2 linked regions of the Cricetulus griseus genome follow. The protein of the gene in region 1 interacts with the protein of each later gene in a pairwise test. Links are inferred from orthologs where the notes say so. Each region holds a gene or a part of one and is shown in the gene's direction. Other genes may lie near its edges.

What was found.
Region 2: the proteins of Fchsd2 (region 1) and Abcf3 interact in binary tests that used the Homo sapiens proteins (3 or more experiments, as listed by UniProt). The two-hybrid records come from large-scale screens. The link is inferred for Cricetulus griseus from reciprocal best matches to the Homo sapiens genes FCHSD2 and ABCF3.

The regions. Positions count from the first base shown.
Region 1 is NC_048596.1:98,230,568-98,247,127, reverse strand, and holds the end of Fchsd2 (F-BAR and double SH3 domains protein 2), read left to right. Parts: intron 1-2,159; coding exon 2,160-2,291; intron 2,292-8,049; coding exon 8,050-8,133; intron 8,134-8,254; coding exon 8,255-8,432; intron 8,433-8,839; coding exon 8,840-9,060; intron 9,061-10,098; coding exon 10,099-10,228; intron 10,229-10,318; coding exon 10,319-10,401; intron 10,402-12,235; coding exon 12,236-12,319; 3' UTR 12,320-13,078; coding exon of another isoform or gene 13,079-13,093; 3' UTR 13,094-14,180; downstream 14,181-16,560. UniProt on the Homo sapiens protein: Adapter protein that plays a role in endocytosis via clathrin-coated pits. Contributes to the internalization of cell surface receptors, such as integrin ITGB1 and transferrin receptor.
Region 2 is NC_048597.1:68,078,005-68,094,564, reverse strand, and holds Abcf3 (ATP-binding cassette sub-family F member 3), read left to right. Parts: upstream 1-3,466; 5' UTR 3,467-3,551; coding exon 3,552-3,624; intron 3,625-3,847; coding exon 3,848-3,995; intron 3,996-4,091; coding exon 4,092-4,171; intron 4,172-4,765; coding exon 4,766-4,812; intron 4,813-5,037; coding exon 5,038-5,135; intron 5,136-5,232; coding exon 5,233-5,355; intron 5,356-5,482; coding exon 5,483-5,749; intron 5,750-6,334; coding exon of another isoform or gene 6,335-6,359; coding exon 6,360-6,440; intron 6,441-6,527; coding exon 6,528-6,587; intron 6,588-6,685; coding exon 6,686-6,742; intron 6,743-6,860; coding exon 6,861-6,883; intron 6,884-6,994; coding exon 6,995-7,050; intron 7,051-7,154; coding exon 7,155-7,355; intron 7,356-7,448; coding exon 7,449-7,525; intron 7,526-13,379; coding exon 13,380-13,424; intron 13,425-13,501; coding exon 13,502-13,634; intron 13,635-14,428; coding exon 14,429-14,517; intron 14,518-14,615; coding exon 14,616-14,707; intron 14,708-14,891; coding exon 14,892-15,024; and 6 more.

The DNA.
Region 1 (16,560 bases):
TGTTTATTAAGGAAACATTATACTGTTTTCTATAGCAACTGTGTCATTTACAGTCCACTACCAATATATGTTTTCAACTTTGTTACATCCTCAGCAACACATGCTCTTTTTTTTTTTTTTTTTTTTTGAGACAGGGTTTCTGTGGAGTGATCAGTCAGCAAGTCTATAGGGCCAAGGTTTCTTTATTCAGATATACCAGCCAAGCTCAGGCCAAAGCGTGCCAGGGCAGCAAGGCAGCCAGGCCAGAGCGAGGAGGAGGGAGCAGGGAGAAGGACAAGAAGGGAAGGTCCATGTGTCCAAGGTCCCTTAAGAAGCCTTCCCTTCCTACTTCACCTTAGACTTCCCCTCACCACGCCCTCATGGGCGTGTTCCGGCACACCTGTCCAGGCTACTAGGAGGCAGGCTACAGTGTCTTCCTACAGGTTTCTCTGTGTGGCTTTAGAGTCTGTCCTGGAACTCACTCTGTAGACCAGATTGGCCTCAAACTCACAGAGATCCGGCTGCCTCTACTTCCCAAGTGCTAGAATTAAAGGCATGTACCACCACTGTCTGGCTCTTTTCTCTTTTCTTGATGATAAAGACCCAAATGAATGAGAAGTAGCATCTCATTGTGGTGTTGTTTTGTTTTATTTTAGTTTTTGTTTGTTTTGGTTTTTTTTGAGACAGGCTTTCTCTGTATAGCTTTGGAGCCTATCCTGTCACTCGCTCTGTAGACCAGGGTGGCCTTGAACTCACAGCTTCTGCCTCTGTCTCTGCCTCCCAAGTGCTGGGATTATTCAAGGCATGTGCCACCAACACCCAGCTGTGGTGGGTTTTAGTTGGTTATTTTTTTATTGTCTTATGTTTGTTTGGGGGGTTGTTTTGTTTGGTTGGTTGTTACAGGGGTTCATGTAGCCCAAACTGGCCTACACTCACTGTATAGCAAAGGATAATCTCCTGCCTTTGTCTCCCAAGTGCTGAGATTATAGGCATGTGCTACCAAGTGTCACCCTGTAGCCTAGACTGGCATCACATTCAAAGCAGTCCTGACTCAGCCTCCTGAATACCAATATTACAGACATGATCCAGCATGTGTGGCTTTGTTGGGGGAGTGAATGAATTTGTTTGTTTGGTTTGAGTCAGGGTCTCTTGTAGCTCATGCTGGCCTCAAACTTGCTATGTGACCTTGAGTTTATGATCCTCTTGCTTCTGTCTCCTGAGTGTTGAAATTGCAAGCATGCATCACCATACACCTGTATTACAGAGTGCAGAGGATAGAACCCATGTCTAAATGCATACTAGACAATTACTCTTATAAACTGAGCTGCATCTCCAACCCCTTCATTGTGATTCTGATAGTGTCTTTCAGAAAAGAGTACTTTATCGTGTTTAATTCTGCTATTGGTCATGGCTTAAACCCTGTGTTGGGCACTATATTTTCTAAAAAATAATGTGAATTTGCATTTCTGCCTGTCATAGTTATAAGACTGTTTCTTCTGTTCATTGGTAACATGTAGAAGTCTTTGTTTCCTCATGTTAGCATTTAAGATGTTAAGAGGGCTTTGTTAGCTAGCATTTAACAGAAAAAAATTGAAGGGATACTGATAAATTACTTTTTAAAATACTTGAAAAAGTTTGTGACAGGGTTTCATTTAGTCCAGAACCCATACCTAGCTAAAGCCTGCCTTTAATCCTAGCCTCCACTTCCCAAATGCTAGAACTATACCTGTGTACCACTGAGATATTTTACTTTATTTATTGTTGTTTGTACATGCATGTGTATATATGTGTGTGTGCATACAAATGTACCATGGTGTGCATGTGGAGGTCAGAGGACAATACTTGGGAGTTGGTTCTTTACTTCCACCGTGGGATCTGCTGATAGAACTCAGGTCGTCAAGGTTTGCATGGCAAGTACTTTTGCAAAACCAGAAGTTTCTCAGCCTGACAGTTTACTTTTATGTGTGTGTGTAACTGCAAGTGGCCTTAAACTATGTGGATTTTAAACATTCTGTGGACTTCATAGTATGTAAAAATGCAACTGAGGACAGTCATTTCTGTGTGTAGTTGAATTGATGAGTTAATATTTTGAAACAATCAAATTTCAAGTGTTTCTTTTCCTGTTTTCTACCATTTTCATGAAATAAATGAAGTAGCCAATGGCTTCTAATTTTTCCTAGCTTAATACAGATGCTGAAAGAGAAGAAGAAGAGTTTGAAGACAACATGGATGTTTTCGATGACAGCAGCTCCAGCCCTTCTGGCACTTTAAGGAATTACCCACTTACCTGCAAAGTTGTTTATTCCTATAAGGTTTGTATCTCTGCCATATATTGGTGATAGTAAATTATGACAACTCTGAGAATTCATGATCCTCTGCTTACATTGTGCTGGGTGGCATATAGTTGCCATCTGTTGATAGCAACAGGACATGGTAGTGAAATGTTGGGACTCTGCCATTGACTTTTCTGCGTAAAACACTGTCTCTAGCTGGATGGTGGTGGCACCTGCCTTTAATCCCAGTACTCAGAGACAGGGGCAGGTGGATCTCTTAAGTTCAAGGCCAGCCTGGTCTACAGAGTGAGTTCCAGGACTGTCAGAGCTATGCAAAGAAACCCTGTCTCAAAAAACCACTGTCTCTGCTGCTCTGGGCTACCCAACCATACACTGGGTTTCTGCAAGACCCAGTGCTTTGTCTTAGGGGTTTCTTGGTTTGTTTGTATGTTTTTTTTGTTGTTGTTGTTGTTTATTTTCCTGTATCATAGGAACAGTATCTACTTTGAAGACTAAGTAACACTTCCATAGCAAAGCACTGAGCATGTACCTGGCATCTCATAAACTCTCAGTGGCTAGAGAGTTCATGCCCCAGGTTGGCATAGACCTTCCATTAGGATGCCCCCCAAGATTGAGACCAAAAGAAAAATGTCTTATAAAGTGATTGTAGGAAAAAATCCAGCCCAGTAGCCAGTGGCTGAAGTTCAGACTCCAGGAGCACTCAATTCCTTCCCCCTGAACATCTTTGGTACTGCTCACTCCTTCTGCCTAGAACTCTGTTTCCTCAAGTCTCAGCTGCCTACTTCTCTCCCTTGGAGCCCTGCTCAAAAAGCACCTTCCTTGCAGGAGAGATGGCTCAGCAGTTAGAAGTTGCCCCTACAGAGGACACAAGTTCAGTTCCCAGCATTTACATAGAGCAGTTCACAACCACCTGTAAGTCCAACTCAAGGCTTCTGGTCTCCAAGGGCAGCTACACTTATACAGATAATTAAAATAAAATAAATTTTTTAATCAAAGCTAACCTGAGCTACACAGAGAGTTCCAGGCCAATCTGAGTCAAAAAAAAAAAGAACAAAAAATAAAGGTAAAGAAAGAAATAGGGGAAATAAGGAAAGAAATAGCACAGTAGATTCATTGCCATCACCATATCCTATTATCAAGTGCTGTTTACTCTGCATAACTGTATGTGCCATACTTCTGTATGTCTGGCAACACAGGCTTGTTCATGCAGTAACTGCCACAAGAATGAGTAACGTGTTGCACTATAGTATCATGATGGCTACAACATGGGTGACAAAGTTTTCATCTCCATTATAATTTTATTTTTGAGATGGGGTCTCAGTCTATAGTCTATGTAGAAAATACCTTCACACTTGGGGCAATTCCCCTGCCTCCACCTCCCAAGTGCTAGGACTACAGACAAATACTACCATGCCTGACTTTTATTGTAATCTTACAGGACCATTACATATGTTGGGTTGTCCATTGTTGATCATAACCTCATGAAGCATATAATTGAACATGTGTGACCAGCTAAACTTTATCTTACCTATGTTCCTGTTTCTTTGTATGGCTCCTCACTGAAGATCCACGGAAACAGAAACTTTGTGCCTTATCTGTGTGTGTTCATCACCTGTGACAATGCCTGGGCATAGTAAATAATTGTAGAATGGGTAAATTAATGATACAAGGATGGCATGAACAAATGAATCCTCTGACCCCACTGTGATAAAACACAGTAGAAGAGGATAATGCCAAAGATGATGAGAGAGTATGGAGAAAATTTTCCAGCTGTTGTCCACTGATTCCCAGCTCAAACCCATGTGCTTAATGTTGACTACATATACTACTCAATACCAAGAATTCCTGGGCTTTTTGAGTTTGTCACATTCATTAAATTCAAACACATAATACTTCTTGTTTCCTTCTTGTTATGATAATCTTCTGAAATTTGAAGTCATCTTCTGAGATATTTAGAAAGGTCTTCCAAGGTATAAAGCTAAAGCTTCAAGTATTTCTCTCTTTTTTTTGCAATTTTTTTTATTTGAATTAGAAACAAGATTGTTTTACATGTCACTCCCAGTTCCCTCTCCCTCCCCTCCTCCCCTACCATTCCCCCCCCCAACTAAAACCTACCTATCACATATCCTTTCTGCTCCCCCTGGATGGTGAGGCCTCCATAGGGTGTCATCAGAGTCTATCATATCCTTTGGGATAGGGCCTAGGCCCACCCCCGTGTGTCTTTGCTCAGGGAGTATTCCTCTATGTGGAATGGGCTCCCAAAGTCCACACCTATGCTAGGGATAAGTACTGATCTACTACAGGAGGTTCAAGTATTTCTTGGTGTTACTTCTTTTTGTTCTATTTCCTTGAAAGTTCCAGAAATAAGATTTGTGATACTTAATGGAAAGTCCTAAGCCCCCACCCAGCTAATTTCAGACACTCACATTCTTCCCCATCTTTTCTTTCTGCTGACATATCTGGTCTTTTCCTTATGGTAAACCAGAGTAGGGAAATCTGTCTAAGGATCAGAAGTTTGGCTCAGTAGTAGAGTGTTTCACTCTCATGCAAGGCTCTGGGTTCAAATCTCCAACCCTTGGCCCTATGCTTGATTCCCAGAATCCCCAGGATAGAAAAAGAAAACTGATTCCCAAAGGGTGCAGACATACATGTAGGCAAAACTCACATAAAATTTGTTAAAAAGAACTGGGTGTGATGGTGCACACCTTTAGTGCTAGCACTCTGAAGGCAGAGGCAAGCAGGTCTTTGTTACAGGCCAACCAGAGCTACGTAGTGAGACCCTATCTCAAAAACAAACAAACCTTGTTATAAATGTCAAATACAAAGGAAGAATACCAAGTTGCATGTGTGTCTCCAATATCTCTATACACATTCTTCAGCCTTTCAACAAGCGTGGATAAGCGTGACTTTTAAAACCAGGAAAGCAAAATACAGGAAATTTAAAAATAGGTGGGAATGGATTTCTGACTTACTGAATATTCAGACTTAAAGGACACAGGATTGAGATTGTATATTTAGTAGCCATTTATTAATTACTTGCTATCTGTAGTTGGGATGAGAGAAGAAACAGCCCACTTTAGGTCATTTTGGTAGGAAACCCACAGGGATGAACAACTAGCTGTAGTGCCATGCATGGAAGTCAGTGTCTGAGAGATGCAAAGGTCTCACCAAAGTAAAAGGGAAGAAGCAAGCAGCTCATGGTAGCTGTCCTGTGAAAACATATGCACTGCACCACAAATCACAAGTAATAGGAAGAACTACTCTCTATTTACTTATTCTTAATTCAGTAACCCTATCAGGGAAATATGTGACTACCTCCATGTACCAACAGTGCTTTTTTTTTCTAGTTTCTGGAATGTGGCACTGACCAAAAACCTCTATGCCCTTAAGGGACTTTATATTCTAGTTGGGGTGGGGTGGGGTGGAGTGGGAAGAAACCTAAAGACCAAAGACATCTTTTTTTTTTTAAGAAAAATCAATTTTATTTTTTATGTATATTAGTGTTTTTGCCTGCATGTGTGACTGTATACCACATTTGTGCCTTGTGCCCACAGAGGCCAGAAGAGGGTCCACTGGAACTGGATTTACAAACAATTGGGAGCTGCCATGTGGATGCTGCAAATTAAACCTGGGTTCTCTGCAAGAGCAGCTAGTTCTCTAACAGCTGAGCCATCTCTCCAGCCCCTCAGTGACATCTTAGGGTCATTTGCCCATAGAAATAGACTGAAGCTGAACTTATACTCAGCAGTCTACGGTGGTGGTGCACACCTTTAATCCCAGCACTTGGGAGGCAGAAGCACACAGGTCTCTGAGTTCAAGACTAGCCTGTTCTACAAAGTGAGTTCCAGGACAACCTGGGCTACACAGAGAAACCCTGTCTTGGCAAAAACAAACAAAGAAACAAACAGAAAACAAAAAGATGGAGGAGAGCTGTCAGACAGAACAAAGGGAAGAAACAGAAGCAAGGAAAAGCACAGTGTGCTCAGAGAGCAGGAATGAGTATGCTGGCTCAAGGCTTTGAGAAGTTCACAGGGCCCACTCATGGTAGATCTTACACACTTTACTCTAGTGCTTGATTCTGTTGGCCTACTGCTGTGAAGCTGGACAATCCACATGGACCTCCATAATTGGTCACAGGACAACAGCATGTTGTACTCTGTCCCCTCCTGCCTTGTTTTACACACATTCAAGTCTGGTTGTATTGATATTAAGTCTTGCCATGTACTTAGGAAAATGACTTCATTACAAAGGTGCCTTTTGCTAGTGGTTTTGTTTGGTTGTATTTAGGTTTTTGTTCCTTTGAAACAGGGTGTCACTTTGTAGCTCAGGCTGACCTGGAACTCCTCTTGTCTCAACCTGGGATTATAGGCATGTGTCACTCTGCCTGGCACACAATGTAGTTTCAGAGTAACAAAAAATTCCACAGAAAAAATATTAAGAGAAAGAGTAGAGGTTTTCTTCATATTTTGAAGTCAGAAATAATCTACTTAAAATCTGTCATTGGAGCTGGTGGTAGCCATTGATCCCCACACTTAGGAGGTAGAGGCAGGGGATCTTTTCCAGGACAGCTGGGGCCACTCAGAGAAACCTTGTCTCAAAAAAAAAAAAAAAAAAAAAAAAAAAAAAAAAAAAACTGTCGTTCTAGTATTCTGAATAGGTTGTTCATCTTCAGACCTGTTTCTATGTCAGGAAGCTATGCCATTGTCCATAATCTGGGTTTTGATGGGATAGGAAATGGGTCTTAGGAAGTGACTCACTTTCAACAACAGTTGTGGTACAACTCAGTAAGTGGATACAAGAGGATCAGAAATTCAAGGTCTTCAAGGTCATCCTTAGCTTCATAGCAAAATTGTAGGTCAGCCTGGATTACATGAGAGGCTAAATCCCCACTCCCAAGAGAAGAAAATATGACTCACTTTATTATTTTCTATTTGTATAATTTGGAACTATTCTATACTTGAGACTGAGATCTGAATCATGATAAAGCCTTGTGTGATAGTGGGACTTGGGGAAAGTGTTGAAGGCTTTTTACTAGAGAACTAGAAGACACATGTCACATGACAGACAAGACTCTTCAGGAAGCCTTGGTAGAGGCTCTCTCTGTGGAGTTCCCTCTGGAGTATCTTGAATTTCCTCCAGGGTCTGTGTCTCAAAAGCAGACCATGGTGGTTGCCAGTTGAGACAGTAAAGCACTTCAGCTAGTGCAGAAACATTCATATGGATCAGCCCCAGTCTCCACACTCAGTCATTGGCTTGCTTACTACTTCCAGTGATTCCAGAGGAGCCCCAGGCGATGCCCAAGCACTGCAATCCATGTACATAGTGTCTGCGTTTCCACTGCATGCACTTCCATGATAGCCTCTGGTGGAATTTCATTCAAGTGCCTTCTCTGTTACTTATGCCTCCCAGGTCATCTTGGTTCTGTGTTTACTCTTGCCACATTGACCACCATTCTTAGAGAATGGTTTGGTTGACATTTGGAATAAATGGAGGCATTATGCTGAATAAGCAAGCTGGAGCCAACCTCCAGGCCCTCTGCTTCCAGCATTGCCCTCTGCTCACTGAACCTGATTACCTCCTGAGGATCCAGTTTCTGTTGCAGTTTTGTTTAATTTTCCAAAGTAAAACTTCACCTCATTATGATAGTTTTACAACACTAAAATTTCATTTCTCAGAATCATCTCAATATTTTGATCCCTGGCTTTTGTTATGACCAGCTCACATCTGCTCTTTATCTAACCTTTTTGATTTTGTCCATGGCCATCCTACATTGCAGGCTTCTCAACCAGATGAGTTGACCATTGAGGAACATGAGGTGTTAGAAGTGATTGAAGATGGAGATATGGAAGACTGGGTAAAGGTATATTCCTTTGCTCATATCACCCCTTCTTGTGATGTTTTAGGCATTTATTTTGGTTCTTGGTCTATTCCATCCAAATTGTGTCTACAAACTTGTTTTTTTCCCTTGTCTTTTAACCCAGGCTCGAAATAAAGTTGGACAAGTGGGTTATGTTCCAGAAAAGTACCTACAATTTCCCACTTCAAACAGCCTACTGAGCATGCTGCAGTCTTTGGCTGCTTTGGACAGTCGGTCACACACATCCAGCAATTCCACAGAAGCAGAACTCATTTCAGGCAGCCTCAATGGAGATGCTAGCGGTAAAGACTAAAATAAGACACTTAGTCTGGTCACAGTTGTGACCTAAACTAGTACCTGGAAGTTACTAAAGCCTTCAGTAGGTTTAAAAGCACTTTATGTCCTATGTCTTCCTATATTTGATAGCACTAGTCCTGTTTAGTAGAAGCTTACAGTTACTTTCAGTGAGTAAAATCTTAAAACTTAATCTTGTCTTGTATGATGCTCAGTAGTTGTCACGGAGCAAAAGAGAGGCTGTGAAATCAGTCCAGGTGGCTAGACATGGTGTGTGTACACCTGTTATTCTAGTAACTGAGAGTGTGTTGCAAGTTTGAGGCCAGCCTGGGCTATAGAGAAGACCTTGTCTTAAAGTCTAGGGCAAAGCAGTACATTTGTATGTTCTTACAGTTCATCTTTCTCTTGCTTCCAGTCTGTTTTGTGAAAGCACTTTATGATTATGAGGGCCAGACAGATGATGAGTTGTCCTTTCCTGAGGGAGCAATTATCCGTATCGTGAACAAAGAAAACCAGGATGACGATGGCTTCTGGGAAGGGGAGTTCAATGGGCGAATTGGCGTTTTCCCATCGGTGCTAGTGGAAGAACTCTCAGCCTCAGAGAATGGAGACACTCCTGGGACAAGAGAGATCCAGGTATGTGAGAGGGAGAAAGAAAGATAAACCTCTCCTTCATTCTGTTCCTTAATAGCCTGATGTCTGCACAACTGAATTTGAAAAACTAGAGGCTTGTTAGGACTTTGTAGAAAATTACCATCTTACATTCCATTCTCTTTCCCAAATTGTTTTCTCTGAATTCATTAAAATACTAAATTTCATATGACATTTAGAAAATGATTTTGCTGCCAGGCAGTGGTGGCACACGCCTTTAATCCCAGAACCCAGGAGGCAGAGGCAGGCGGATCTCTATGAGTTCGAAGCCAGCCTGGTCTACAGAGTGAGTTCTAGGACAGACTCCAAAGCCACAGAGAAACCCTGTCTTGAAAAACAAAACAAACAAACAAACCAACAAACAAAACAAAACCGATGATTTTGCTGGAGAGAAAGAAGCCAGGGAGGAAATGTGTTGTCTCCAGCTAGCTTCCGTAGTATGGCCCTTAGCTGGCCCTTCTACTTCATGAGACCCCTCTCTCTCCCAGGTTCTACCAGAGCTCTAAGGGGCTCAGTTTCCTTCACAACAGCTAAGTGTTATTTTACAGGAAATTGTCAGTTTGATTTGTCCTCTTTAGAGATCTGTTCCAGCAGGCCTGGCAGATAGAAGGGTAAGGCATGTGACCATGACTGCTTAGTCTGACATGTAGAAAACCTAGGGAAGTCAGTCAGAAACTCAACCAATGATTTTTATCTTCACACACAGACACCATCTGTCCCCCATTTGTTCTTCACAAGTTTAACTGAATTGCCTAATGGAAGAACCCCAGAGAATGGTTTGACTTGGCAACTGTTTAACATAAACTAGAATCAATGGAATAATGAAATCTGAGAGGGAAGTGTTAAGTGCAATACAAAGTTGAAGCTTCAGAGTTTATTGTATGCCCATTTGCTTCTATGAGGCTGACAAGTATTAACAATTATAACTTAGCTTCAGAGAAAGGGAAGGCATACTGAGCAGTGAAGCAGCCAAGCTCTTCTTCCTGAGGAGAGCATCTAGTAACTGTGCCTCCTTTATTACAGATCTCTCCATCACCCAAGCTGCACACATCCCTGCCTCCACTGCCGCTGTATGACCAGCCTCCCAGCAGCCCGTATCCCAGTCCAGATAAGAGGTGCTCCCAGTTCTTCCCCCGGTCTCCTTCAGCCAATGGTAAGCATCCTGAGCACATGCCCACAGCACTCACGTCTACACTAGTATCTTTACTGTTCAGTTATCAACCTCTTGGGTTCTCTCCCTCAGAAAACAGCCTTCATGCTGAATCACCAGGGTTCTCACAAGCATCAAGGCAGACTCTCGACACCTCATATGGCAAGCTGCGGCCTGTAAGTCTCCTATTTTAAAGGGTTGTAGAGTGCATAGTTCTTCCAAATTGAAAGTGAGAAATTCACACACACACACACCACCCCCATGGTCCCTGTTGTTACCAATCTGCCATGCAATAGTTTGGAGAAGTAAAAGCTATTGGAAAGAGGCTATAAAATAAGCTGGATGTAGTGGTGCATGCCTTTAATCCCAGCACTCAGGAGGCAAAGTCAGGTGGATCTTTGTTAGTTCTAGGATAGTCTGATGTATATAGCAAATACCAGGCCAGATGGCTTAGCAGTTAAGAGCACTCACCTCTACTGCAGAGGGCCTGAGTTTGGTTCCCAGCACCAACATACATGGTGGCTCACAACTATCTGAAACTCCAGTTCCAGAAAGTCCAGTGCCCTTTTCCAGCCTTCTCAGTTACCAGGGAGGCACATGGTACAAATATATGCATTTAAGCAAACACTCAGACACATAAAATAAAAATCATTTTTTCTTGAAAGGAAGGCTATAAAATAATGGATCTAGTCTACATTGGAACATTACTCACTGAGCCAGGGGCGATCAAAGAGGGTAGCCATGCAGTGCTTAAATACAAACATAACACAATTGTGAAGTGAAACAATTTCTTACCATACATTTATTAAGAACCCATTTTTCAACCGAGCTGTAGTGGTGCACACCTTTTGTCCAAGTAGAGAGGCAGAAGCAGGTGAATCTCTGAGTTTGGGGCCAACCTGGTCTACAGATCAAGTTCCAAGACAGCCAAGGTTCCATACCAACAGCTCCCTCATTCATGTCTTTCTCCTGAACTTTGGCTTGTGGGATCACAGCTTAGATGCACCAGACCCACAAACTCAGCAAAATGGAGTTAAATCTCTTCTCTTCTGGACATGTTCTCTCTCCATCTTGCCTGTGTAGGTGAGTGGAAGTCACTCCCTCCAAGTCTTGGAATCATTCCTGCTGCCTTATGGGTCCCAGTCTCCTATCCCTCAACACAGACACTTACCAGAGTAAACCAGCTGGGTTTACTCTCAGAACCTTCTGATGCTCTGTACTGTTCAGGTTGACATCAGCACTCATCCAGATGACCAGGATATGTCCTACATCATCTTCAAAGTATACATGCCTACCTACAGTCTCTTCTCAAGCTGTTGAGTCATGTTTTCCCATCCAGATCTGGCACTTCTTAAAACTAACCAAAACCTCTGTCTACATATAAAACCCAAGTTTCTTGTTTCTTTTCTTTCTTCAACTATTTTCAGTGTTGGGATTGAACCCAGGGCCTTGAGCCTGCTAAAACACTCTTCCACTAGGCTACATTCCCAACCCCATGTTTTTTGGTTTGGTATGAGACAAAATCTCATGGTATGCCCAGACTGACCTCCATCTTTCTGCAATTCTCCTGCCTCTACTTCCTGCATGCTAAGATTACAAGCATGCACCACCATGCTTGGCTATCTAGGTTTCTTACTGTAAAGCCCTTTACTACTTGCCCCAGCCCATCTTCCCAGCCTCCCTACCTGTGGCTATCCTCAGAGACATAGTGAGCAGTTCCACTCTCTACACTGTGTCTTCTTTTTGCTACCTCCAGGCCTTTGCTTTGGAGAGGGGTTTTAGGGCTATCGAAGCTTGTGTGCCTTAGGACATCCAGCCTAACAAGCAGTCTGATGTTACATTTCATGCAGAACAGTGCCTGCTTTTCAGGGTAGGTAGCACATGGAAAGCTGGGAGCATGTCCCAGACCCCCGGCTGTCACTGTCTCTAAAGAGGGGCATTAGAGCTTTCCATGTGGCGGGTTCTGAGTCAGGAAGCTGACTGACAATCCTATAACTGTCTCCCGCTCAGGTTCGAGCGGCACCCCCACCACCCACACAGAACCACCGACGGCCAGCTGAGAAAATGGAGGATGTGGAGATCACACTGGTGTGACAGTGGGTTTATTTTCCGTTATTGCTACAATCAAGGCCGGGCTTGGAGTTTGGCCAGTCGTTTTTAGGCACCTTTGCATGATGATGACTCTGGAACAGAGCAAAACTAAGGAGGATTCTATGTGACTGGTTGGCCTGATTGTGCCTTTTTTTGTTGTCATTTTCTATGTCATCTCTTCTACCATAGCACAAACCATAGCGGGTCCTAGAAGCAGATGGGAGCAGCTCTCATGCCTTATGGTGGCCCATTTTTATATGAGACTCAAGGCCAGGCCCAGAATTACTGATCGTGTGCGCTTGTACAGTATATTACTGTGGTCACAAGGCTGTGGCAAAGATCTCATGTTTCTTAAGTGGATTTTGCTCTTCTGATTAAGTATTAATCAGATTATGTTCCCTATATAAGGAAGCAAGAAGGATCCAGGAGAGGCTGGCTCCTCCCTGAGCTTCATTCCCATACTGAAGATGCAACCTTACTGGGAAGAAAGTGGACTGACTGCCTAAGCTTAGCGCCAATTGCATTAATGCACATCTCTTCCACAACTAACAGATTAAAATAACAGTGTCCTTTGTATTAATATTTATGCCATTCATTTAGTATTAGTGGGCTAACCTGAAGGGGCTGAGGCCACGTCTTGCCCATTACCTAGACTAGTAGAGGGAGGTTATGGCAGAAGCAGAAGTGGAGCTTCCAGATCTGAAATGAGCCACTTTAATGTTCTTTTTGTCTTTTGGGTGTTTTCCCTCTTGGTTTTTACAGTGTATGCCCTTCTGACCTTTGAACCCAAGTGTCTGGCTGCATTGAGGACACAGGCCTACACTGGGCAGCTCCTCTACTGGGAAGGCCCTTGTATTATTTTATCTCCAAGCCAGAGTACTGGCCCAGATATCAGGTTGTGATTAATGCAGAGCAGCTGTCACCTTCAGCAAGTGCAGCTTCAGGTCCTGCTGCCCTGACATTTGTCTGGGGTGAAGAACCTGTGGGCCCTGGAGGAAACCTGCTTTCTGTGGAACAGATAAAGGACTGCACACCTACACAGGTGAAACCAAGGAGACCAGACCTTCAGGTGGTGGGAGAGCCATGTGCCGTTGCCTATGGCACAGCAGCAGGCCTGAAGGGCTGCCCACACTGGACTGTAGGTCTTCTTGACCTAGGGAACAAAGTAATGTTTGCCAATTCTCTTTACCTTGGTTGGGGAATGAAATTCACAGATTTAAAGGTTGTACAATGTTTTGAAATTTCCATCTCTCCTGAGAATCTCTAAAAACTTGAAATGCTCACATGTCCCCGTGGGATTTTTGACTGATACCAGAGCTGAAGGGGTTGTCAGTCATTGACCACTTTAGCAATGATGCTCTGATGAATCTTCTCCATGAATTTGGATTTTTGTTTTTTGCATTTCTTTATCTGTTGATCTATTTGAGGTCTTTTTATGTTTATCAAACTTATTCTTAAGTTTAAAAAGTTAAAAGGGTGTTTTAAGATTTTTCAAATTTGCTGATCTTTAAAGTGCTTATAATAGAGCAATTCCTGCCACCCAGTCTCTTATTCTCTTCAGCTAACCAAATTGTGCTTGATTTGAGTTTCCCATAACCTCAGAGTTATTTGAACTCTTTTGTTATATTTTAAAATATTTTTTGGAAGAGCTGCTAATTTTATTTTAAGGAACAAAGTTGTAAAAAAATATGCCTCCTTTTTAAAAAGTAATCCTTCTCTCCAAGCTGCATAACCCGGCATCACCGTGCACAGGTCAGGGCTCAGAGGAAGCCTCCGTGCAGATGCGCTTTCTTTACAGTGGCTGTAAAAAGTTTGTATTTATTATGTATAAAATGTTGAATAATAAAAAATGAAATTAAGTTTTCCAAGTGTCCTAATAAAAAAATAATGGTTGATTAATCAGGCTTTGAGAAAGAGTGGAAAGGGGAAAATGCTTCTTACAAAAACACTACTGGGCCCTGCTTAAACTACTTCCCCTGTGCAGAGAGCAGGAAGGGAGTCCACCCAGGCAACAAGATCCTGATGCTGTTCTTTTTTAGCAAGAGGAAAAAAACAGGTAATATATTTGAGGCCAGGACTACTAGCCATGCTGGTGATCTAGTTACAAGATGAGCTCCTGTGGCTTACAAACAACCACAAGCCAAGGACTGAGAACCCAGCCTGGGTGTGGAGGAGCTCACAAGTTACATATATGATACGTATCATATGTAAGTGTGCTTGTGCCACAGCACATATTTGGGGATCAGGACAGTTTTTGAGAGATGGCTTTCTGAGCTCTTTGCCCAAACAGGTCTCCCGTTTTTGTTATGCTGTGTACTCCTGGACCACCCATCTTATAGAAGCTAGGTCACTGTGTGCTGCCTTTCTTCCCTGTGGGTCCTGGGAATTGAACTCAGATAGTCAGGCGTGTGCAACAGGAGCTCCTACTCACTGAGCCATCTCACCAGTCACATTGTGTCATTCAATTGTTTGGCTATGTAATAACCTAATCATTCCTTTTGTGAAGAGCGTTTAAGTTGTATCCAGCCACTTGCTCCTAAGAAATTGAAGCTACTATCACTGTGTATACTTCTTTATAAATTTGTTCCATGTAAATATTGGGCAAATTCCTAAATGTAGATTTTGACAGAAAGGGTATATATTTACATTTGTTAGATTTTTTTTTTTTTTTGCCAAATTGGCCTCCAAAAGAATTGCATCTATTTATTTGCATTTCCACCACCAGCATGTGGAACAACATGGATTTGGAAGTCAGGTATGGGTCATTAAATCCTGGCTGAGCCACTTGGGGCAGCCATAAAGACTGACCCTGTGTCCTACAGCTGAGAAGCCTAGATCCCGGAAGGATACAAAGTATGCAACACAGAGAGGCACACAAACACTGCCTACACTACCATCTCTCAACCTTCAGTGTCTTCAGGGCGATGGGTCCTCTTCCATTCCCTTGCCACACAGTAACCCACAAGAACAAGGTTTGAAGTGCTTTAAGTCTGGAAAAGACTGTAAGGACATATTTTCTGCAGTGAAAACAGCTCACTTTCAAGTCTGACTTTAGTCTTGGAGATCTGGTCTTCATCTTAGGTCAGAGTTCACCTAGTTGTCCTATCCCAGTGCCATCCATGTTGACTTCCTTTGTCACAGGAACTGATCAAGCCGCCAAACCATAGACTCACTGTTGATTACCTGGGCCCTGCCTCTCTGAGCCCAGGTTCATATGTCAGAGTCACAGTAGGAGGCTGTTATCTGGCTTTAGCCCTGCCCACTGCCTAATGGGACATCTTTCCATCCTCCCCTCCCAAGCTATTACCCCACCTTTAAAAAGGATGCAATGAGCTGGGTGTTAGTGGTGCACGCTTTTAATCCCAACACTCAGGAGGCAGAGGCAAGCAGCTCTCTTTGAGTTTGAGACCAGCCTGATCTATATATCTATTTCGAGGATAGCCAAGGCCATACAAAGAAACACTGTCTCATAAGACAAAAACGGGGCTGGAGAGATAGCTCAATGGTGAAGAGCACTGGCTGCTCTTCCAGAGGTCCTGAGTTCAGTTCCCAGAAACCACATGGTGGCTCGCAACCACCTGTAATGAAATCTGGTACTCTCTTGTGGCCTGAAATTATACATGCAAACAGAACACTGTATTTATAATAAGTAAAATCTTTTTTAAAAAAATGCAATGAAGGTGACTTCAGTGGGCTTATCCAGCTTCCTGCTAGATCAGTTAAATTATTCTAGATGCAGCGAAAGGGGAAGGAAGAAAAGTAAGGAAGGAAATAAATTCAGGCCTGGACTCATCCCCAGAGAGACAATTATTATGTTCAGTATTATGATACCACTCCTGGGCTGCACCAGTCCCAGCCACAGCTCTAGGATGTGGTTCTAATTACTACCCAACTCCCTCTTGACTAGCCTCTGACAATATCTAGCTGACTAAATCTTCTGCATTTATCGTGAGTTGGTGTGTATATGTATGTGTCACTTTTATGTCAGAAAACGGAGAATTGAAATTTTCCTGAAATCCTGCAACATGACATAACCAGTTTGTTTCCCTCCTGGACTCTTGCTGGGTTTGCTTTGTTAAAGCAGGAGGAGCCAATGAGAACACCAGAGCGTCTTGTCCCTGGACTATTTTCTTTTGGACCCAGTGGCCAAGAAAAAACATTGGACTTCTCCATGTGTTTTCCTGAGTGCTATTCAGGAAACGTGTTTTTAAAAGCCCCCTGAATGGGGCTGGAGAGATGGCTCA
Region 2 (16,560 bases), on another chromosome or scaffold:
TAAACCCAATAAACTGTAGAGTGGAGTTGTTGGCTAGTGTTAATGGGGCTGTCGGGGAGGGTCTGGTGGGCCTGTTAACTCTGTGTAGCCCTGGCTGTCGTGGAACTCTGTGTGTGGACCAGGCTGGCCTCAAACTCACAGGGGTCTGCCTGCCTCTGCCTTCTAAGTGCTGGGATTAAAAGTGTATACTGACATGCCAAGCTTTGTTTTGTTGAGTCTTGCCACATACTGCCCTGGCTGACCTAGAACTTACTATAGACCAGACTGGCCTTGAAGTTTTGGTGATCCCTTTGCCCCTGCCTCCCAAGTGCTGCTATTACACACATGTGCCTCCACTCCAGGCTTTGTTTGCTTTGAGCTGGGTTTTCATTGTGCAAGCCCAGTTGGCTGAATTCAGGATTCTCCTGCCTCCACCTCCCAAGTGCAGTGTTGCAGATGTGAAGTTTTCTAGTTAGCATATATCAAGTAAGATTTGTATTTGTGTCGGGCGTTGGTGGCACACGCCTTTAATCCCAGCACTTGGGAGGCAGAGGCAGGCAGATCTCTGTGAGTTCAAGGCCAGCCTGGTCTCCAGAGCGAGTGCCAGGATAGGCCCCAAAGCTACACAGAGAAACCCTGTCTCAAAAAAACCAGGAAGGAAGGAAGGAAGGAAGGAAGGAAGGAAGGAAGGAAGAAAGAAAGAAAGAAAGAAAGAAAGAAAGAAAGAAAGAAAGAAAGAAAGAAAGAAAGAAAAGGAGCAGTATGTGCTCTTAACTACTGAGCCATTTCTCTAGTCCCTAATTGTGTTTTAAGACCATGAGTATTTTGCCTGCATCACATGCATGCAGTACTCTTCAATGCCAGAAGAGGGGGCATTGGGTCCTCTGAAACTGGGGTTACAGAGCAATGTGAGCAGTCCTGTAGGTTCTAGGAAACAAACACTATCCTTTGAAAAAGCAGCAAGTATTCTTTACTTCTGAGCCTCTCTCCCAGCCTCTCGGTTTTAGTGTGGTGTGTGTGTGTGCATGGAGAGGCTCAGAGGTCAGTTAGGAGTGTGTTTCTCAATTGCCTTCCACCTTATTTTTCAAGTCAGTATCTCACTGAACCAGAACTCTGATTTGGCTCAGCTGACAGCTTCTAAGCCCTAGGGATCTTCTTGTCTCTGCCTGCCCAGCACGAGATTACAGGTGTGTGAGAAACGTATTCCTCACTTCATAATAAGGATAACAAAGCAAAGCAATTTATTTTTTGACCTTGAAGAATCTGTCATCAGCCTGGAGAAGAGGCAAACATGGCTGACTGGCACTCTGATTTGGCACTAAACAGTGGTTTTTGGAGTCCCTGATCTGAAAAACTAAAAATCAAAAAACCCCACCGCAAACCTCCATCTTCCTGGACTGGAGATCCCTCCCCATTTTCCTGATAACATAGGTTCAGTTATGTAGCTGACTGACTTCTCATCCCTGAGGAAAACTAAGGTGCTAGCTAGGGAAAGAAGGACTCCGTGCCTCCTGCTTATGTGTGACTCATTGATGAGCACTAAGTACACCTTATACTGAAAATAGACCACAGTGACATTATTTTAAAGATTTATGTATTTATTATAAACACAGTGTTTTACCCACAGGTCAGACAAGGGCACCAGATCACATTATGGATGGTCATGAGCCACTATGTGGTTGCTGGGAATTGAACTTAAGTCCTCTGGCAGAGCAGCCAGTGCTCTTAACCACTGAGCCATCTCTCCAGCCCCCATATCGACATTTCTTACTAGAGACTTTGTCTTGGATCAAACTCAGATCCCTATGCTTGCATACCTATCACTTTACTGAATCACTTCTCCAGCCCCTTATCTGTATTTACTGTGAAATGGTTATTAGATTAGATTTAGAGGCTCAGTTGCTGGCTTTGTAGCTGTGGGTGACCTTACCTCTCTCTCTCTCTCTCTCTCTCTCTCTCTCTCTCTCTCTCTCTGAGACAGGGTTTCTTTGTCTTGGAACTCTCTATAGACGGTGCTGGCCTTGAACTCACAAAGATCCACCTCTCTCTGCCTCCTGAGTGCCAGGACATTGAATTCTTGATCCTATCACTGCCTCCTGGATGTTGGGGTTACAAACATATGCCACTGTGCCCAGTTTTATGGGTACTGTGGATCAAACACAAAGTTTCAGGCATAGTAGACAGGCATTCCACCAACAAAGCTGTATCCTCAGACATACAGATAGCTTTCCTAAACTTTAGACACCAAGACTGGCTCCCCATTGCAGTAATGCTTGGTAAAGATGGATGAGTGGGCAGACAGGGCTTTTCTTGTCTCCCTCTTCTCTTCTGTCTCCGTCTGTATCTCTTTACCTCTTTTCTCTTTCCCCACCCCCTGCCCTTTCTAATAAATCTTGTCACTTTAAAAAAAAAAAAAATGGCTGGGCGTTGGTGGCGCCTGCCTTTAATCCCAGCACTCGGGAGGCAGAGGCAGGCAGATCTCTGTGAGTTCGAGTCCAGCCTGGTCTACAAGAACTAGTTCTAGGACAGCCTCCAAAGCCACAGAGAAACCCAGTCTCGAAAAAATCAAAAAAAAAAAAAAAAAAAAAAAAAAGATGAGTGGCCAGTCCAGTGTAGTGGCACACGCTTTTAATTCCAGCACTTGGGTGACAGGCAGGAGGATCAGGAGTTCTAGGTTAGCTTGGACTGTCTAGGGAGGTTCTCTTAAAAATTAATATGGGTGTAATTTGGGCGTATTAGGAAGAATTTTTGTTTTAAGAATAAAGCAGTAGTGTTACCACAACGTCTACTTGACAAAATCGATGGGGGGGCGTCCTTTTACAGACCCCAAGATTCAGGGTGTAAGAAAACCTGCTTTGTCTGTAGACCTAGTATAAAAATTTTATAAAGGGCTTCTTGTTGACCTGGCGGTGAAAGAACAGAATAACCTATTTCTCAATGACTTGGTTGAACAACCATGCACAGAACAAAGCGGCAGGAAGGCTAGGCATCACTAAGCTGATTCAACTAACTGAACGAAATGAAACTCAGACTCAGTCCTGAGTCTGCTCAGTCCTGAGCAGAAAGCCAAGCACTCGAGAGCTGGCGTGAGTCAGCAAAACGCCGTGGCCTAAAGGCTTGGGTGGGCGCACAGCGACACCGCCTGCGGGTAAGGCTCCGCGCTAGCAAAGCGGCCCACTTCAACGACAGTCTGTCTCTAGGTGGGGTCTCTCTCGCGGCACCTTCTGTGCTCCTCGCCCTGATAAACGTAGGGCGACTCCGCCACACCCCTCCACACCCCTCGATTCCATCTCCCCTTTCCAGAAGGCAGAGAAAACGGTACAGGTGAATACAGTCGTGAAACATGAATTGCGCAGGCGCAGAGGTCGCCGTGTCTGCCGGACTTCGCGGCGCTTGCGTGCAGTTCCGCTAGCCACGCCCTCTAGACTCCACGCAGGCTTCTACTTTCTTACGTCATTACTGCGCGTGCGCCCCTGGGAGGAAGGGGGGGTGCTATTCCAGGGGGGAAGGGCAAGAAGGCGGTCCTAGGCCTAGATCTCATCACGACTGCGCAGACCGGACCCCGGGTGAACATGGCGACTTGCGCCGATATCCTGCGGAGCGAGTTCCCAGAAATTGACGGGCAGGTCTTCGACTACGTGACCGGTGAGCGAAACGGAATTAACTGCCCGGGGAGGCCGAAGTGGAGATCTCGGGGGAAGACTGAGGGTGGACAGTGCAGCAGACTGCTACCTGGTCTCTCCTCTGCGTGACCTCTTATCTTGAGGGCCGGTGGGGTCTGGAGCCCCGAGTGGGCTGATCAGACACTGAGACTGCTTGTATATCCGCCCTACCCGGTGTCTTTCTTGTTCTGCGGTACGCGGCCCAGGCGTCTTGCATAGCGGCAGCGCGGACTTCGAGTCTGTGGATGACCTGGTGGAAGCTGTGGGGGAACTATTGCAAGAAGTGTCCGGGGACAGCAAAGATGACGCGGGCATCAGGGCTGTCTGTCAGCGCATGTACAACACTCTACGCCTGTAGGTGCCAAGGGAATGGAGTACAAACTAGTGGGAAGGTCTGAAGGCTGCAAATCTTTTCTCCCAACTGACTGCTTTCTATCCCTACCCACGCAGGGCTGAGCCACAGAACCAGGGAAACAGCCAGGTGCTACTGGACGCCCCCATCCAGTTGTCAAAGATAATGGAAAGCTACGGTGAGAGTGAGGGGATGTTGAACTAGCTGCCTTCTGCCTCCACCCCAGCCACCTGTTTCTTGCAGCTCAGGACGCCCTCCATCTTCTATAACAAGGCTTGTAGGAACTTGTGGTATTTTGTGAATAGAAAAACTTGTGATGAGCCGGGCAGTGCCTTTAGTCCCAGCATTCTAGAGGCAGAAGCCAGCCTGGTCTACAGAGCCAGTTCAAGACAGCCAGGGTATCACTGAGAAACCCTGTCTTGAAGAAAGAAGAAAAAGAAGAAGAAAAAAAAAAAAAAAAAACTCTTGTGATGAAGAGTAGGGTTGGAAGGTTCTCCAAGCTGTGGGCTATAGTAGGAGGTATAGGCCTTGGAGCTAAACATACTTGGTTTTGCCAGTTTTGTATTTTAACCAACAGCACTGTCTTGTAAGAGTACATCAGCCTCTGTATTTAAATGTGAGATCTTTTTCTTTTTTATTTCAAGGCTAATAACCATCTATTCCAGTGCCATAATAGTGTCTTAAAGTTCTATTCTTGGTTCTTGTTAGTCACTCAAAGTCTTCATTTCCCTTCCCTCATGGAGAAGGTGACTGCTTTTCTTATCACTTACAGACTGTGACACCAAACTTCCAGGACTGCTAAAGAGGGAACAGTCCTCGGTGAGGAGCAGGGAGGGGAAGGGGCTGTGTGTCTATGGTGGGTGACAGAGCTGACAGTCTAAACAGTGGGTAAATCTTTGGGGGAGATTTCTAATGTGTCTTTCCTTGAACCTTTGATTCTGTATCATCATGAGTAGGTTGTGAGGGTTTGTTTGAAGTAGTCCCTGGAGTCCTTTTTTGGATCTGTACCCTGGTATAAACTGGTTGTGTTTGGAATTCAATCAGACAGTGAATGCGAAGAAACTAGAGAAGGCTGAAGCTCGACTGAAGGCAAAGCAGGAAAAGCGTTCAGAGAAGGAAACCCTGAAGACCAGCAGCCCTCTGTGAGTTTAAGAAAAGGGCTCAGAAGGGAGCAGGGCAGGTTCTGGTATTGAAGGGTTGTCGGGAGCCCTAAAAACTGCCCCTATCTCCATTTGAAAGAGTCCTGGAGGAGGCCTCAGCTAGCCAGGCAGGCAGCAGAAAAGAGAGCCGTTTAGAGTCATCTGGCAAGAACAAGTCCTATGATGTGCGAATTGAGAACTTCGATGTGTCTTTTGGTGACAGGTGAGGGAATGGTATGATCTTTCTAATTAGAGGAGAATCTGGAGCTATCGAGTGGGACCAAAACAGTGCTAAAGTTCCTCTGCAGCTGTTTCTAGACCACTCTTCATCTCTTTCTACCACCCTTCAGGGTACTGTTGGCTGGAGCAGATGTGAACCTGGCCTGGGGCCGACGCTATGGACTGGTGGGACGCAATGGTCTGGGGAAGACGACGTTGCTAAAGATGCTGGCCACCCGGAGCCTGCGGGTTCCAGCCCATATTTCTCTGCTGCATGTGGAGCAGGAGGTTGCTGGAGATGATACCCCTGCTCTGCAGAGCGTGCTGGAGAGTGACACAGTCCGGGAGGACCTGCTACGGCAGGAGCGGGAGCTCAGTGTCAAGATTGCTGCTGGCAGGTGAAGGCTTCAGGCTAGAGGGTACAAGCAATAGCTGTCTGTCCTGGTTTACTAGTGTTAACTTGACCCAAGCTAGAGCTATTTGGGAAGAGGTACTTCAAATGAGAAAATGCCTTCATCAGATTGATTGATCAAGCCTGTGGTGTATTTTCTTAATTGATAATTAATGTGGGAGGACCCAGTTCAGTTGTGGGTGGTGGCACCCCTGGGCTGGTGGTCCTGGGTTAAATAAGAGAGCAGGCAGAGCAAACCATGAGAAACAAGCCAGTAAGCAGTGTTCCTCCATGGTTCTGCTTCAGCTGCTGCCTCCATGTCCCTGCCCTGACTTTTAGTGTGACCTGAGAGTTATAAGATAAAGTAAACCCTTCCTCCCCAAGTTGCTTTTAGTCTTGGTGTTTTCCCACAGCAATAGAAACCTGGACACTAAGACACTGTGCAGAGTAGCTCCATAATTCATGTGGCCTCCCTAGTGAGCAGCAGAGCTTGGAATTTGGCCTGTGGAACTGTAAAGCCCTCATTCTTCCCAGTGGCCTGCTTTTCAACTTAGAGGGTACAAGACTGCATCTTAGACTGTCTTTATACAAGCTGGTTGGGTCTTTTTCCGTCCCAGGGCAGAGGGCTCAGAAGCTGCACAGTTGGCAGAAATCTATACCAAACTGGAGGAGATTGAGGCTGATAAAGCACCTGCCAGGTACTTAAAATTCCCACTTCCTTTCCTGTCTATTTGCTGTCTTCATTTGAACTCTTCCAATTGGATTCTTGTAATTTCCCTTCACAGAGCATCAGTCATTCTCGCAGGGCTTGGTTTTACCCCTAAAATGCAGCAGCAGCCTACGAGGTGAGTAAACTTGGCCATTTTTGACTTTGAAGACTACTGGCTCTGGCCCTGCTTGTCCTGATGAACACCGAGCCCTAACGGGAGTCTGTTATCATTAGGGAGTTCTCTGGTGGCTGGAGGATGAGATTGGCCTTAGCCCGGGCTCTGTTTGCCAGGTGAGTCTCCTGATCCTGAGAATGTGTGACTGGAATGCAATGGACTGGAATGGCTCATGGGATATCATAACAAGTTTCTTGTCATGGCCTCATGCTGTGTATTTATTCTTTTTCATAGGCCAGATCTTCTGCTGTTAGATGGTGAGTTTGAATGAGCTACCCTGACTTTGGAGCTAGACAAGGATGCTAACATCCTTTTTTCTAGTTCTCCAGCCCTTCATTCCAAGTATGTGTTTCTTGCTTCCTCTCCAGAACCCACAAACATGCTGGATGTAAGGGCCATCCTGTGGTTGGAGAATTACCTGCAGGTGAGTTTTGGGAAGGCTTTACAGTGGGTCTAGAGAAAGTTTGCCTCCAAGACACTGGGGGCCAGTTACCCTTCCAAACAGCCTGCCATTCTGTTATTCCTCAGACGTGGCCCTCCACAATCCTAGTTGTCTCTCATGACCGCAACTTCCTGAATGCCATCGCCACAGACATCATCCACCTGCATAGCCAACGACTAGATGGTTACCGAGGGGACTTTGAAACCTTTATCAAGAGCAAGCAGGAGCGACTACTCAACCAACAGCGAGAGTATGAGGCCCAGCAGCAGTACCGCCAGCACATCCAGGTGTGGTAGGGGAGACAGGACACAGGTCCCATCCCATTGGTATCAGAGTTGGTGGCAGTGAGGGAGCTTGACAAGTGCCTGCTTCTCCTGTAGGTTTTCATAGACCGTTTTCGATACAATGCCAACAGAGCCTCTCAAGTGCAGAGTAAACTCAAGATGTTGGAGAAGCTGTGAGTACAAAGTCCTTGTCCAGAACCAACTCCTCTTCATTTCTTCCCTCGTTTTTTTGTTGTTGTTGGTTTTTGTTTTTGTTTTTCGAGACAGGGTTTCTCTGTGTAGCTTTGGAGCCTGTCCTGGCACTCGCTCTGTAGATCAGGCTGGCCTCGAACTCACAGAGATCCGCCTGCCTCTACCTCCCGAGTGCTGGGATTAAAGGCATGCGCCACCAATGCCCAGCTCTTCCTTTCATTTTATAAACTGCCCTTTATTTATCTTTCCGTTCTGGGCCTTCCTTCAGCTAGCAGCCAACTTTTATTCCAACATAGAAGTAGAGTACTTTCTACTAACCTTGCCTAGGCAGCCACAAATTCAGATTTATTGTCTGTCTCTATATATTTGGTTTGTCTAGCTTTTTTTCTCCCTGTACTGAAGATTAAACCTAGCACCTAGTCCTCACCTGTGTCTAGCTTATTATTCTAGTAGCATGTTTTCTAAGGTCATCTATGTTGTAATGTTAACACTTCGTTTCCTTTCATGGTGACATATGCTCCATTTCATGACTCTGATACTTTTGTTTATTGAGTCAGGTGATGAACTTTAGGTTATTCCTGTATGTTTTTAGGAATAATGAATGCTATATGAACTTTCTAGGAGATGTGGGGGATTGAGACCAGGTCTCAATCTGTAAGACTGACCGCCAGTTCACAGCAGTCCTCCTGCCTCGGCCTCCTGAGTGCTGAGATTACTAATATGAACCACCACAGCTGGCCTGCGATGAACATTTATGTACAAGTTTTTGCTTTTTCCTTTAAAGAATTTTTTTTTTATCTTATATGTGTGTTGCCTACATGTGTGTAAAGGCAGTGTGTGTGTGTGTGTGTGTGTGTGTGTGTGTGTGTGTGTGTGTGTGTGTGTGTGTGTCTAGTCAGGTGCCAGAGTGGGAGGTGAGTCCCTGGAACAAGTTAACAGATGAATTTAAGTGACTATGTGGGTGCTGGAAACCAAACCTGGTTTCTGCAAGTACAGTGTTGCTCTTAACCACTGAGCCGACTTTCCAACCCCCTGTGTTCAAATTCCTATGCAGACATTTGTGTTACTTAGGTTCATATCTAAGAGTGGATTTGCTGTTTCACATGGTAATTTAACTTTTGAGGGTTTTGCTGTTGATGATGATGATGATGATGATGATGATGATGATGATGTTATTGTTGAAATGGAGTTTCACTGTGCAGCCCTGGCTGGCCATGAACTTGCTTTGTAGACCAGGCTAGCCTGGAATTCACAGGGATCCCTCCTGTCTGTGCCTCCCAGGTGCTAGAATTAAAGCATTTGCCAACACAGTTGGTCCTAATGTTTAACTTTTTAAGGATCTGCCAAACTAGGTTTGTTTTGAGACAGTTTTGTAGCTCAAACTAGCCTTACTTTTTTGTTTGTTTTTGTTTTTGAGACAGGGTTTCTCTGTGTAACCATTCTGGCTGTCCTGGAACTCACTTTGTAGACCAGGCTGTCCTGGAACTCACAGAGATTCATCCACCTGCCTCTGTCTTCCAAGTGGCCTTGAAGTCTTACATAGCCAAGGATGACCTCGAACTCCTTCCTGGTCCTCCTACCTCTACCTCCCAGGTGCTGAGATTATGGGCATATGTCTCCATTCCTGGTTTGTGTAGTGCTGGAAATTGGATCTGAGACCTGTGCACACTGGGCAAGCAGTCTAGTGACTGAGTTGCATCCCTAGACCCCCTTCCAGACCAATTCAATAAAAGTTTATACGTTATTTTATATTGGATATACTTAATACAAATCTCACTAAAAATGAATATAAGACATATCAGACTTCTTTTTGTTACTTTTTTTTTCATGATTTTTTCTTTTTTAAAAAGAGATCATAATCAAATCATTTCTCCCTTCCCATTCCTCCCTCCAAACCCTCCCTTATACACCTCCTTGCTCTTTTTCCAATTCAGCCTCACTTTTCATTAATTGCTGTTACATGTGCATATGTATATGAATATATTCCTAAATATAACTATATGTCCTAAATATAATGTTACTGTATGTATGTTTTCAGGGCTGACCGTTCGGTATTGGATACCAACTGGTGTGCTCTTCCCTGGGGAAGACTATTCCTCCTTCTGTCGGCACTCCTTGGTTGCCTGTAGTTCTTGGTATAGGGTTTAGGCCTATACTCACTCACACTCACAATAACTCTCTCACACACACACACTGGTATGTCTGTTGGCGTCATTTTTGTTCAGCTCATGTTTGAGCAGTCATATTGTTGAGATTTTATGGGTGTACTTCTGACATTGCTAGGAAACAATCTCGAAGCAAACTCCCTGCTCCTCTGGCTCTTAGGATCTTTCCCCTTTCAAAAGGTTCCCTGAGCCTTAGATGCTGGAGTGCTTTGTGGATGTATCCATTGGGACTCAGTTCTACAGCTCTACATTTTGATTGGTTGTAGTTCCGTAATGGTCTCTTTCTGTTGTTGCAAAGAGAAGTTTCCTTGATGAGAGGTGAGGCTAGACCTTAGAGAAGGAATTGGAAAGTCTGGCTTGGTGAATATAGTTGGATGTGATGCAGAAGGGACCTGTAGGTGGTTTCAGGTCCAGACCAGTCTTGTTGTTTTTAGTTGGAGACAGTTTCTCACTTTGTAGCCCAGGCAAGCCTTGAACTCCAGGTGCATTTGCTTCCCATGAGCTGGAATCACTTCCACCACTCTTGGCTTGCCAGACTGTTTTAAAAACAGGTGCATTATTTTATATGCCTCCTCTAGGGTGTGGGAACTGTCATTGTCCCATGTCTTTGCCAGCACTTGCTCTTAACGCTTGCAGTCTCAGCTGCCCTGGTACATGAAAAGCAACATCTCATTGTGGTTTTGATGAGCAGTTCTATGACTAATGAAATTGCTCATTGAGGGTTTCATCTTGAAGGAGACTTTCTAGAAATCCTGGGAGAGAGAGTAAATTCATAAGGCTTAACAGCTCTGACATGGAAACATTTATTACTGTATATTAAGGGTAAAAGCTACCAAGACAGACTGGAGCTGGGGCTGGGGTTGGGGCAGGGCACAGACTCATAATATCAGAATGAGTGAAGGCTGAAGCAAGGACTTCAAGTTCAAGGCTGGCTCAATCAAGCTGGTGAGACCTTGCCTCACATGTACAACATAAGGGAATAACACAAATCTAAGTTTTTAAAAAGCTGTTGAAAGGTGGGGTTTTGCTGGGGGTTGTTGTTTAAATTGGGGAACCGCTCGACTGGGAGACAGTATCTGTGGCAAACCTGTTAGTCCTCATTTCATTCCCAGGACTCAGGGTGAAAGAGGGGAAGAGGCTCCAGACTTTTTCTGGGTTTTTGTTTTGTGTTTTAAGACAGAGTCTCACACAGGTCTCAGACAGGGCCGGTCTGGAATTCCTATATAGTTCAGGCTGGTCTCAAACTCACAGAAATCCATCTGCTCTGCCTCCCAAGTAGTACAATTAAAAGTGTATGTCACCATGCCTGGCAAATAAACATCATTACAATTTTTTTTTTAGAGTGGGAGTGATGTCTTAGCAGTAAGAAAGCTTGTTGCTCTTGCAGAAGACCTGGGTTGGTTCTCAGCACCCACGTGGGGTTCTCAGCACCCACGTGGCAGTTCACAACTATTGTAATTCTGGTTCCAAAGAAACAGACACCCTCTTCTGACCTCATGGGCACTGCATACATTCAGCACATTTACATTCATGTAAAACACCCATACATATGAGAAAATAAATTTAAATATTTAAAATTTTTATATTTATATATTTTTAAATATTTACTTTTTTGTTTTTGTTTTATTTTTTTGTTTGAAACTACATATACTCTCTATGTAGTCTTAGCTAGCCTGGAACTCACTATATAGAACATGTGAGGCTTGAACTCAGCAACATCTGCCTGCTTCTGCTTCCCAAGTGCTAAGATCAAAAGCATGCACTACTCCACCCAACTTATATTTTTTTAATTTTTAAAAATTTTATGTGCCTAGGTGTTTTGCCATCATGGGTGTCTGTGTGAGGGTGTCAGACCCATGGAACTGGAAGTTATAGACAGTTGTAAACTGCCATGTAGGTGCTGGTAATTGATCTGAACTGAAAGAACAGCCAGTGATTTTAGCCACTGAGCCATCTCTCCAGCCCCAAGTTTGTTAGTTTGTTTTTAAGCAGCAAGAAAGATGATTCTTTTTCTTCCAGATAGTGATCTAGAAGAATACATTGTAGCATTAGCCAAGTGAAGGACATACAAGTCTGTTTTCTCCAAGCATTTACTTGTGCAAGAAGAACAGATTTTCTTGCTAATTTTTGTCATTTTCTTGAGTCGGGGTCTCACTACATGGCACAAAATATGTAAGTTGGCTTTAGCCTCCTAAGTGGCAGGGTTATGGGCGTTTTACCACATACACCATAAAGTTGATTGTTTCACTTCTTTTATTAGTGTGTTAATTATATAAGATGGGTTTGTTATATTTTCATACATGATATAATGTAGTTTGGTCATACCCATCTGGCATTGCTCTCTGTCCCCCTCCCATCTATCTCTTCTTCCCAACTCAGTTCCCCCTCTGCTTTGATGTCTTCTTGGTTTTTGGCAAACCAGTTAAGTTTTGTTGGCTTGCTTACAAGAGCGTGGATGAGGTGTTATTTACAGAAGCAAAGGCACCTCACTAGTGGCTTCACGCCTGCAGAAAATCTCACCCCCTCCCCCAGCAACCACTAACTGCCTATAAATCCCCAGCGGTAGGACCTCATGACAGGACACTGACAGGCCCAGTCTCAGGCAGGTCATCCTAACAGTCATGCCACACCCAGCAGACTATCCCATAGCACCCACCACTTCACCACACAACCCCACCCTGTCCTCCATTCTCATTCCTTCTATGCTGTCTTCCAACATGTCCCTGAGCCCTTGAGGGAATGTCACATCCTGTCTGTGTCTGGGTACTTACCAGTCGCTTGTCCTCAGCACTCTGTCCAGTTTTGAGTCTGCAGTTACTACTTTCAGAACGAAGCTGCCTGATCATTTAGAAGGCACTTTCATGGGCAAGTGATGACGATTTAACATAGTTGTAGCTTCCACACTAGAGCTTGTGACCTCCCTGGCCACAGGTATTGATCTGGTTTGTAGCACAGACACGAGTTCCGCCTGTGGAACAGGCCTCGGTTCCAATCAGAGAGCAGCTGGTTGTCCTTTAGTGGCCTTGACAATGGACACACCTTGCTTGCTTGGCCAGTCAGTAGTGTAGCACATAATTCCGTGGTTAAGGAAAACTGTTGGTGGCAGTTCACACCCAGCAGGCTGCTTAGCACCTCCCAGCCCTGAGGGCTAGCCAGCTTCATCTCAGTTGTCTTGCTTTCTTTGTTCTGGAAGCAGCTTCTGTCTTGCCATGTGTTTCTGCATAAGGGAGTTCTATACTCCTGTCATCGTGGTCTTTATACTGGCACCTCTGTGTGTGTGCGCATGTGCACACATAATAGGGTCCGGACCACCTTGTTCTGCTGAGCCGCTAACTATTGCCTGTATTGTTCTGGGTCTTCAAAGGCCTTCCTGACCAACTACTTGTAGGGAGCTATACGAGCCCTGGCACTGGAACTTTCTTTAATAACCTGTGACTTCTTGGAGCAGCTGTAGCCACACAAACAGGGAACTTCGGTTTAAACTTTTTTGTTTTTTAATTAGCCTATAAAGTATGAGGCTTCCTTGCCGCTTTTCCATACATCCTTAGTTTTTGTTGACCCTTCCCTCATCTTCCTGTCTCCTTTCCCTGCTTAAACCTTTCCACCCCCAGTGTTCTCCTTCCCACTTTCACATCTTGCTAAATAATCATTTTTCCATCTCTCCTCTCAGACCCGAGCTAAAGCCGGTGGACAAGGAATCCGAGGTGGTGATGAAGTGAGTGCTAAGCTGGGGAGCTGAGGGGGAACCCCTGTTTCTGGCTGCCTCCACACTCCATACTTGCACCTCCACAGGTTCCCTGATGGGTTTGAGAAGTTCTCACCACCAATTCTGCAGCTAGATGAGGTGGATTTCTACTATGATCCTAAACACGTCATCTTCAGTCGTCTGTCTGTCTCTGCTGACCTTGAGTCTCGAATCTGTGTGGTATGGTCACTCTTCTGTTCTATGTCCCGGGAGATGTCTACCTTAGCAAGCTCAGATTGGACCAATCCTGAGAATAGAGAGTACAGAGAGTCATACTTAACACTGTTGCTGTCCTCTGTAGTCTCACAGGCCACCTCAGAGATAGAAACCCAGCATGTGGCATTTTGTGAATATATAGAACAGTAATTTATCTTACTGCTCTTGGTTCTGAATCATGTCACTCATGAGACATTAAAGAAAGAACATAGATTACAGGACAGGATTTAAAATATGCTGTTCTATAGCTTAGCTTTAGGAAATTTCCTTTTCCTCAGAAGGGAGGTCAAGGTTGGGGAAAGAGCTCAGCAAGTAGAAAGTGATTTCTGCACATATGTGAGGGCTAGAGTTCAGTCCCCAGAACTCACATATGGTTGAGTGCTCATTGCACCCCTCATAATCCCTGTGTGCAAGGGGCAAAGACGGAAATCATCAGAGCAAGATGGCTAGCCAGCTAGCACAATTGTGAGCTCTAGAAAAGATGGAGGAAGACATCTGACATTACCTTGCGCCTCCACATGCACACATCTATACCCAGACATGAACCCCTACACAGGGATACACCACTTGTGGTTTCCCGGAGCAGTAAACCTCGTCCCTTGGCAAGTACTCAAGTATCAGTTCCCTTTGTAGCTTTGCATGTGATAGTTCTTAGAGTTTTTGGTTGTAAGACTGGGACTACCCAGGGCCCCTCTTGCTTCCTTCCCTTCTGTGTCCCACACATGTAAAGTCATTAAACATGCTCCTGTTTATTACAGGTTGGGGAGAATGGGGCTGGGAAGTCTACTATGCTGAAGCTACTCATGGGGGACCTGGCTCCTGTTCGAGGTATCAGGCATGCCCACCGGTAAGGGATCTCCCCCCATGAAATGCCTGTGCTCTCATCCACATTGACCTACCTATGGTACTCCACAGCAGTGCCTTCTGTTCTCATTCTGCCTCCAGGAATCTGAAGATAGGCTATTTTAGCCAGCACCACGTGGAACAGCTAGACCTGAATGTCAGTGCTGTGGAACTCTTGGCTCGAAAGTTTCCTGGTATGTTAGGGATAGGGTTTGCAGCAAGAGTGTTTTATCTGATCCTTGCATCTAGGCCCGTCTTGGGTCATTATTAGGAACTTGCCTAAGTTTAGGTATAAAAACATAGGTACTGAGGAGGAGAACCTAGGGAGTAGCAAAGGCATTGGGCCAAGAGCCCATCTGATGTGGGGGCCTTTTCCAGGGCGACCTGAAGAGGAATATCGACACCAGTTGGGCCGGTATGGCATCTCTGGAGAACTGGCCATGCGCCCGGTTGCGAGCTTATCTGGGGGCCAGAAGAGCCGGGTAGCCTTTGCTCAGATGACCATGCCTTGGTGAGGCTTATTTTCTTGGGTTCTTGTTTCTCATTTCCCCTTCTTGCCAGTACAAAATGACACTTTGATCTTTGTGCCATAGGAATTCATTTTCTCCCATCTTGTAACTTCTGTGTTCTCCCTTCCAGCCCCAACTTCTACATTCTAGATGAGCCCACAAACCACTTGGACATGGAGACAATTGAGGCTTTGGGCCAAGCCCTCAACAACTTCAGGGTGAGCATGTCTGGCCTGACTGTTCTTCCGTGTGCCTCAGCATACCTCAGTATCTATTCCCTCGAGCACTTCTGGTCTGTCTTTCAGGGAGGCGTAATTCTGGTATCCCATGATGAGCGCTTCATCCGGCTGGTGTGCCAGGAGCTGTGGGTGTGTGAGAAAGGCACTGTGACCCGGGTTGAGGGAGGATTTGACCAGTACCGTGCCCTCCTCCAAGAACAGTTCCGTCGGGAGGGCTTCCTCTAGAGCCTCCAGCTGAATGAGGACTGTGCCTAGGACATGGACTGGTCTCACAAGACCCCAGAACTACCATGTAGGCAACCAACTCCAGACTTAGGACTTCCCTACTTGGGGACAGCCTTATTTCCCAGACTTCTCTTTTCCTTTCAACTGGAGCATCCTCTGCACATTGTGGGGAGACATGTCCAAGGCCTGCGAAGACAGTCCTGATGGAAAAGGTTGGGGGTGCCATCTGGGCCTATACATACATACCCCCTGCCCAGCTCAACAGGGCCCCACGTGGCTGCTATGTAAATTAAATATCCTCCTGTATCTCTCTTGCCTCATCTCTGCTCCTTTGTGGGCAGGGCCTGCCATGTTTTTGTGCTGTGGGTTCTGGGCGCTCTGATTGGTGTTTTCCATTGTGGAGTACATGTCAATCACACAGAGCAACAGCGGTGTGAGCCTTCCTCTTGTTGGGAGATGTTATCTGTCTGCTCTTGGGTAGGCTTGAGCTGGAGGAATGGAAAACAGTTCTGGAATCACTAGTGCTCATGCTCTGGTCTAGGCATAGCCTCAGCTGAGAGCATCTTGGGCTCTGCTGTCTCAACCCCTGCTTTGCTTGGGAGTTTGAACTAATTCTGGAATCTGGCCTTATACATGGATCACTGACTGCTCTCTCCTGGGGCTGTGGCCCAGCCTTCCAGACCTTCAGAACTCAAGAGAAGCTATTGTTGTTCCCAGTTTGCATTGGTGATTTCATGTCTGTGTTTTTTGTTTTGTTTTGTTTTGTTTTGTTTTGTTTTTTCCCCCTAACCAAGAAGCGGCTTAGGAAGTAGGGAATTGTCTAACTGAAAGAAATAGGACACTTCATTCTTTTCAAACAAAGCAGTCTCTTTTAAGAGGGGAAGACATGTACAGTAGCATGTGCCTGTAGTCCCAGGCACCCTGGAGGCTCATTGGATCCATTTAAGAGACCAGCCTGACCTTTGAGACTCATCTCTTTATAAAGGAGGGAAGAGGAGTGTTTTAACAGGAATGTGGCTTGTTCGTTCGTTAGTTTCAAGGACTTAGATGCTATAGTCAGTCGGTATGTTGAAG